Saccharomyces cerevisiae S288C: one gene and its partner. The protein of the gene in region 2 purifies or fractionates together with the protein of the main gene of each other region. This does not show direct contact. Each region holds a gene or a part of one and is shown on either strand. Other genes may lie near its edges. The genes, in order: ERG26 and MCM7.

Region 1 (3,733 bases), on a different chromosome or scaffold from region 2:
AAGGTTCTTACAATTTGGAAGTTTACGATGATAAGTTGGCAGATTATGCGCTTCCCAGTTATAATGACTATGGCATTGTCATAGATGTGGAAGAAGTCTTTGATAATAATCATAGGGTAGTCCACCAACAGGGCTCTCCTTCCGGTGACTTCAGCTTTCTAGCTTTGGAATCTGGAGAATATAAGATCTGTTTACAGTCTAGGGTAAATAACTGGGTAGGGAAAACCAAAACAAAGTTAGAAATCGAATTTGAAGTCGGTTTTGAAGCAATGTTGGACATGCAAAGAAAAGAAACCTTGGAAAGTTTGCACGGAAAAGTCAGTATATTGAATTCTAAGATCGTGGATATCAGGAGAGAGCAACAACTGATGAGAGAACGTGAAGAATCCTTTAGAGACATATCAGAGTCTGTGAATTCTCGCGCAATGTGGTGGACGGTAACTCAAGTTACTCTTCTCATTATAATTTGTGTATGGCAAATGAAAAGTTTACGCTCGTTTTTTGTTAAGCAGAAAGTATTATGACCGTACATATCAAAAAATTGAATCCTTAGCAGGCATACATGAGAATTTCGTTGTTTCAATGATTTATTTCTATTTATTTACATGCATTACCCCGACGCTTCATAGTGTAGTCATTAAATGAGTGTATACATATATATACTAACCTAGTCATCAAGATGTTTTAGGTGTTTCAATTCTTATTATTCATCTATAAAGACAGAATAAATATATACGGTGCGTATCAGATATGCTATTTCAACATACTATCTTTCGATAATCGGATCAAAAAGCTCCTAACGATTGCCATTACAAACCTTCGTCCATCCAGGCCAACGTTTTGTTAATTCCTTCTTCAATACCAACTCTTGGTGTGTAGCCTAGCAACTTTTTGGCCTTAGCAATGTTGTGATAACGGTATGCACACACAATCTTGACTCTGAATGGAGTCAAACCTGGCTCTTTACCCAGCATCTTGGATACCCATTCTGAAAGATAACCTGCACAAATTGCAACTGGCCTTTTCAAAACAATAACATGTTTATCAATATGACCATCTGCCTTCCACACAGTACGGGCCAAGGCCCAAAAATAGGTGGGGGTATCATTGGTAATGAAAAAAGTTTCACCCGAGACAGCAGTTCTTGTTTTTGGATCGAGAAGTTTCTGTGCAGCTAACACATGCGCGTCAGCAACATTTCCAGCATAAGTCCAATCAAATAGATTGTTATTATCACCAATTTGGAACTTCGACTGCCCCAATTTCGCAACCTGTCTTAGACCAGGTACTAATTGCCTATCACCTGGGCCAAAAATACCAGCTGGACGAAGAGCAACAGTATAGAAATCACTGCTTGGATCATTCGCCTTCAAGACCATATCTTCGGCGATAGCTTTAGTCTCATTGTACGCATCCATAGGAACTTCTGGGATTGGCCAGGTTTCGTCTGCATTGTGCACATCTTGCCCATTAAAAATAACACCAGCAGAGGAAGTATATACAAGTATATTAACGCCACATTTCTTGCACATATCTATCACGTTACGGGTTCCCTTAACATTCACTATGTCATAAATATCTGGATTTTGACCATGCATTGGAGAAGCACAATGAACAACAACATTTGCTTTACTTTCGTTAATTGCGTTTTCCATATCATCAGGTGATGTTAAATCACCCTTATGAAATTTTATGTCGTCTACATTAAAAGTAAACTGTTTTGAAAGTTTTTCAGGGAGATCTCTAACATCAAAAATGTGGATGTCTGGCTTAGGATTAATATCAAAAAATTGCTGAATTAAGTGCAATCCAAGAAAACCAGAACCACCGATAATTAAAACTGAATCTATCTTTGACATATTTATTTTTGTTTGCCCTTCCAGGTAGAGTTGCAAATAAAATTGGACAAAATTGACAATCTATATTGTTGTCTATTCTATTTTATAGCTGCAGCATAATCTTTTCCTTGCAGGCTTATATGAGATTTTTAAACGATACCATTTCTCGAGAGAACAATAAACGATCTATAGGGACTATCGGACCGAGAAATATAAAATCCACAAACACCGACAATAAAATAGCCTCTAAAAAAAAAAAAAGGTCCTGGAGAAAGCAATATTCATACCGCATTAACTTTCATTGAACCGAAGATCTACAAATATCCTTTCCTTGCATTATAATTATCCAATACTTTGTCGTCAATATTCTTTCAAAGAAAGAAAAAATATGAAATCAAAATTAAACATTTTTCTGTAATTTCCGTAATACAAAAAACTATTTTCTTTTCGGAAGGCAAAAACAAAAATTATAATAAAAATAAAAATATGTATAATATAATTTTTATCTTCTAACTTTTTATTTATTGAATTTTTATATAGTAAATATAACACGTGATATATTTGAAATGTGATTATATTATATATATTGATGTTTACATATTTTTTATGTAGTACAATTAATTTTCAAATTTATCGAAGCTCTTAAAAAGCTCAAGAAGCAAATTTCCATGAACTACATTCAAAATTTGCGTAGCACCTAAATTCGTTACTCAAACCATTAGAATGTTCAGGAAGAAAAGTTGTTATTCTTGTGTCAGAATAAACTTTGGATATGACTTCAGACATTCTTTCACCAGTACAACTTATGAGGCGGTGCTTAAAAACTCCTTTCTTAGTTTTAGAGTTGTCATTTGGCGCTAATAAACACTTTGCAGTGATAGAGGCTATTTTATATCAATGAATAACAGTTAGTAAGATGAAAAGATACTGGAAAAAAGATTAAAAAATGAGTAGGGATATGTTTATGATATACATACACTTTGTTTGACAATCTTCATTTAAAAAAGGTGGGTCAATTAACAATCTATCAACTTTTCCTTTAATTTCATCACTGAAGTCCAGTGGTTTATTGTAATCATAAAAAAAGAAATGATCTCTTCCAGCTAACAACTCGAATCTCTTATCAAATTCGAACAAGTAGATATGTTCGGTTGGAATTTCATTAGTAGGTTTCTTTTGAATGGCAGCATAGACGGATGGCGCACTAACTATTGCAATTACAGTGTTTTCGTCCGCACCTTCCAATATGGCATCTGCTAAAATTGCGGCTGTGTCATCGCTGTACCAAAACTGGGAAAGCTGCCAATCTTCCTTGAAAAGCTTCATCCCTTCTTCTTTTTTTTTCTTTTGGAAGTCTTCATCCGTTTCGTCGTAAAGCTTTTGAAAGGCTTCTTGATGTTGTTGTTCCTCTCTTTTGAATTCTTCAAGGGCAGCGAGGGCATTAGCAGAAAGTGTCCTATTAAGTTTCGTGTTAGTTAGTAATTCTACGTTACTGTGTTGAAAATATCCTGTACTTACAATTCATAATCGGAGTCGGAGTCGGAGTCGGACATTTTATCAGTGATTCTTTCGGTTTCATTAAGATGTAAAGTGACTGATTAGTATATTAGTCAAGATTAATATTTTTTTTTTTAGTTCCTCCAGTTCAAAAAAATTTTGTTAGATTTAACCGGCATAAGGTTCAGCGATACAGACGAAAAAAGAAGCCTCTAAATGAATGGGAAATTATATATACATGTATATTATGCAGTTGATATTCTATGAGATGACAATACTAAACTATATACCTATATACATTGCCCATCTTGGATTTTGCTGCCTTACAGATGACAATATAAGTTATTTAGAGATTGAGGGTTACTAGTGCATAATATTTGCGTGATTTCCGAAAGTAC
Region 2 (4,963 bases):
TTTCTTTCTCCTTTTCCCCTCTTGCTTCGAGTGTCTATATAGTTCCTCCCCGCAAATATTCTTCAGCTAAAAATACTATCGTCCGGGATTTTCAAGAATAAAAAAATATCTTCAAATATAATCTAGTAAACGGAATAAAATAGGACTACCGTACTGAGCGGACAGGTTTGTAAAGGTTATATTAGTTTGAGAGTGGGACTATATATATATAGACTATATAAATATATATATATATATACTTATATTTTTGACAGTAGGGATGGAGATCGATGAATGTTGCCTTCACATGTTAATGAATGAAAAAAATTTTACTGTCTGCGGGTCCCCTAAAAGTCCTCTTGGCGATAACAGAATGGGTGCCGGCAGGTATCTCAAATTCGGATTATTATCAAGCGCTACGAATTATTCTGAGAACAATCTTTTCATTTTCTGGAAGAACTCCGCACGGTGTACTCTCTGGTATACTCAGGGGCTGACGGTACCCTGTAGCACGGCTCTCCACAGGCACATCTGAGCAATACTAGCTGGCCCTATTCCGCTTGAAGATAATTTTCCTTTCTCCGCAAAAAAAAAAAAACAAGAATTGGGCCGCGGTGCACGGACATGCGCAGTCATAATGTTAAGTCCGAAATGTGTGGGGTCTGTGGCTGGCAAAAGCGATGAATAATATTAGTAAAATTATAATAATACAGAATACATATCTTGAAAACTGGGCCTTGGAAGTAAGTTACAGAAGGTAAATTTGAATGTGCAGCTATATGGAAATGAAAAAAAGGGGGAAAAAGAATAAAGAATGAAGGCCCTGTTGCTTTTTTTTTTAGAACTTTCAAGCGTCTTGTAGATCGATATCAGAATCTTGGGCGCTCACATTAGCGGAAGCGGTCGTTTGTGGTGCGAGTTTAGGCGTGCTCACTAGTGAGTCTTCCTGGTCTGTGTCCATGGTACCGTCATCCACGAATTTCAAAGTGTTACCCTCATTAATTAAATGCCAGACGTTTAAGTAAGAATATTCTTGGATACAGTTGCTTAATTGTAGCATGGTAAACCCTCTTAGTCTTACAGTTTTCACAATATTTTCATATGATAGCGTGTTTTTACCAGTTTCTTGTAACATTTTCTTGATGATCGTAAAGATTTTCGTTGTGGGGCTTTCATCTTCTTTAGATTTGTTGGTTTCTTGATACAATGATTCCTTGGAGACTCGGACCAACCTCAAGGCTTCCTCCACATCATCTATATCCACCATATCAGCCAACCTTAACTTTGCTAGCGCTTGAGATAATCTTATAATACCTAGTAAAGTTCTCGGAGTGGCTTGACCAAAGGAAAATTTGGAATCCATTTCTCTCTTGGAGTCTTGTCTTAATCTGATGTAAGCTTGCACCACATAATCGTTTACAGCTTCACTCATCACTGGCCTCTTTGTCTTAGCATAGGCAATGTACTCTCTCATTTTAGAGGGTTCTACTGGAGTGAAGTCCAAATCCGGTTGTTTATTATGCATATGCACATATGTAACGTGCTCGGCTAATTTTTCGTCGTCATCTCTACTTGGTATATCTAACATTAAGAAGAGAATATCAAATCTGGATAGTAAAGCAGCTGGTAGATTTATATTGTCCAGAGGTGATAATCTAGGATTATATCTACCATACAACGGATTTGCTGCCGCTAAGATTGAGGTTCTGGCGTTCAAAGTTGTATTGATACCCGCCTTGGATATCGAAATTGTTTGTTGTTCCATAACTTCATGGATTGCCGTTCTGTCACTTTCATCCATCTTATCAAATTCATCGATACAACAAATACCGTTATCAGCGAGTACTAAGGCACCACCTTCTAGAATCATTTCATCCGTGACAGGATCTTTCATGACGGCAGCGGTCAGACCAACGCCTGAGGAACCCTTACCAGTGGTATACACTCCTCGAGGTGATATTTTGCAAATGGCCTTCAGCAGTTGAGATTTGGCAACACCGGGATCACCCATCAGACAAACATTGATATCACCTCTGATTTTCATACCGTCACCTACCCTTTTATCAACACCTCCGACAAGTAATAGCAGCAACGCTTTCTTTACGTCCAAGTTACCGTAGATTTCCGGTGCAATAGATTTTGCCAGCCTATTATAAACATCACCAGAGGTGATTAATTCCATAACTCTCTCTTCTACATCAGAAGTCAGACTGAAAGACGCAAATTTCTTCTTGTGTTGACGGACAAACTGTGCCTCTAAATAAGTTTCTGTCAGTAAGCCAGCTTTCAAAGCTTTGAAACCGGTGTAGGGCGCTGGCAAGAATATACCAGTTACATCGACGATATCACCAGGCGATAAAGATCTTACCAGCGTCCCGTTAACGTGGATATTTAGCGACCTAGGAATATGACCCACTGGCACTTGTTGTGATAACTCCTGAATTTTACATTCCTGAAAGGCACTAAATTTGGAAGCTCGTGTACTCATAAACAATTGACCCTTTGTTTGATTTTGGGAACATTCTTCGGAAGTACATTCTGACAACGGAGTAAAAGTACGAGAGTTGACCTCTTGGAAAACTTCGTACCCACATTGATCGCAGGTATATGCGATAACTTCCACAGCTGGTTTGACATCAGAAACTCTGGTGATAATACCTCTGACGGTAATCAATTGGCCTAGGAAGTCACCTTTAATCTGCCTAACAGATAATGGTTTAGAACTAATTGCTTTCTTCCTGTAACGACGAGCACAATTTTGCGATAGAGGCTTAAAATAAAGGAAATAGCGTCTAGTTAAATTAGGAGGAAATAACTCAGTTTCATCCTCGACAACTTCTCTTAACGCATCATTCATGGAAGAGGGTGGATCCATCGTGGTATCCATGAGGTTTTCGCTTCGGATCTCATTGGTCCTGTCCGAGAGCATTCTCTCATTCCTCAGTCTCCTTTGGTTTAAAATAACATCAAGAACGTCGTCCTTGTAGTCAATTTCTTTTGTTGGTAGCGGCATGTTGTTGTCAATGGCACGGCAAAATAATTCAGTGAAGTGATTAGCGTTTTGTTGAATGGCAGACACAAGGTCGTCTGCCTGTGTGCCCTGGAGAAACTTTTCGTTTTGATACTGTAGAATGTCATCTAAATCAATAATCACGGAATTCAGTTCCCTATTAGCCACTTTCTGTAGCATCGCCATGTACTTGGGCCCCTTTTCCAATAGATGTTGTTCGATATTCTCAGCATCCAAATTTTCATCTTCGTTCTCATTTCGTGTTGCATCAGAAGACAACGTATCCTGCTTGAAAGTCACCAAAAAATCGGTGATTTCATTAAAAAGATTATTATAGTCGACAGGAAGCTGAATTGATGGAAGTGCCGCACTCATAATCTGGTCTATCTGTATTGAGTTCTTCCTGCAAGATTCAAGCTAATCTAGGTAGTGATTATATTGCCTTTCTAAATGTAAGTTATTGGTAAAGACGTGTATGTAGCCTGCTACTGTAGTACATCTCGCTCTGGTCCTTTGCTTGTATCTCACTTTCGTGAAAAAAGAAGCAAACCGACTTAATGAATTGCATTTATTTTCCTTATAAGGAAATTTCCTTTCTGGGTAAATTAGTTAAGAAAAATTTTTTCGAGGCCGTGAAAAACGCGAAGGCTTATACAATGTATTATGAGTGAGTAATAAGTAGCATTCAAGGGTAGAAGGGGCCTCGACCTGTTATTGAGAAAATATACAAGAAGCGCTTATTATATTCGAGTAGCGGCTACGTTGACCTAGCAGGTATCCCGTGGGTAATAGTTTAAGTTATGACATTCACACCACTTTAGAATTTACTTACTCTTTTACCCTCTCTGTCTCTCGTAGGGTACATTTCTTTGTGCTTCTATTCTGTTGCTCTCAGACAAATTTGGAAGTTTTACAGTAAATTATTTTTACTCTTTTCCTTGTCGTCGTAATCAGTGAGGTATCCTGCCTGGTACCTTCCCCTCATTTTTGTACGAAGTATAAACAAAAGCACGGAAAAGGGGAAGCTAAGGAAAGTGAACACCTGTGCTTCGCATTGTTTGCTGCGATTAAAAAAGGTAATACAAAGGCAACTTTAAGCTTTTGTACCGTATCGGCCTATCATAATAGAGAGCCCGCGCACTTCCTAAGAAAGGCAGTTCGTTGCAACTCTCCGGTGGTTTCTTCGCCACTGCAAGGAAGACAATAGCTCGAGAAGGTCATTATTGTTGGAAATATGTTAATTACCATAGCAACAGCAAAATATTCCTAATTCTCAGAGTTATATAAGCAGGGTATATAATAGGCCATCTGCAAACGGACACCAAGTTTTTTTTCTTCTTTCCTCTCCTCTCCTCTCTTTTATATTCCACATTTATTCCCTGTGACAAGGCGAAAACCAAGAATTTTTTTGTAATATATAGGAAATATCACAAAAGATCGAGGACTAACAATGCTGGCCATGAAATCATTTTCACAAGTTTCTAAATCATACAAGGCAAGTGCTCCCAGTAAAAAGCTGACGACGTTGTTTTATGTTGCTTACATCACTCTGGGACTAACAACACCTTTCCTTCTACCGGCCCGAATGGCTTCTAAAGACACACACTACTACAAGGACGAATTTTGTTCTCAACGATCATACACCAGGTTTTAGAGTCTTTCGAAAATATGGGTTATCATTAGGGAGAAAATTACCGAGACTTTTTCGGCTACTTATTTATTCTGCATTTATACATTTGAGACAGGTTCTTCATATTATTTTTAGTTTGTGGGATTGCAGTTTTAACTGTACTGTTTTCACATCTTTCATTCATTCTAGTCAACGTTTCATTTATCCTTGGCCTATTTTATATGTAGTTATTTATGCTAAGTATGTTTGTTTATCAAGCGTTCACTTTTGTTATTGGTTTTTGGTAAATAAAAACGGCCTTTCCTTTAGGGTGTTTCAGTGTTGCGGAACCAGTCGTACGGAGA

The links.
Region 1: the proteins of MCM7 (region 2) and ERG26 purify together in Saccharomyces cerevisiae (affinity purification with mass spectrometry, with the first as the bait; 2 studies listed by BioGRID). This does not show direct contact.

What each region holds. Positions count from the first base shown.
Region 1 is NC_001139.9:494,644-498,376, forward strand, and holds ERG26 (sterol-4-alpha-carboxylate 3-dehydrogenase (decarboxylating)), read right to left. Parts: upstream 1,860-3,733; coding exon 810-1,859; downstream 1-809. Other genes in the region: ERP6 (Erp6p), read left to right, coding at 1-524; EFM5 (protein-lysine N-methyltransferase), read right to left, coding at 2,490-2,722, 2,816-3,294, 3,357-3,391. UniProt on the Saccharomyces cerevisiae protein: Sterol-4-alpha-carboxylate 3-dehydrogenase; part of the third module of ergosterol biosynthesis pathway that includes the late steps of the pathway.
Region 2 is NC_001134.8:624,173-629,135, reverse strand, and holds MCM7 (DNA replication licensing factor MCM7), read right to left. Parts: upstream 3,365-4,963; coding exon 827-3,364; downstream 1-826. Other genes in the region: MIN7 (Min7p), read left to right, coding at 4,440-4,643; DER1 (derlin), read right to left, coding at 4,925-4,963. UniProt on the Saccharomyces cerevisiae protein: Acts as a component of the MCM2-7 complex (MCM complex) which is the putative replicative helicase essential for 'once per cell cycle' DNA replication initiation and elongation in eukaryotic cells.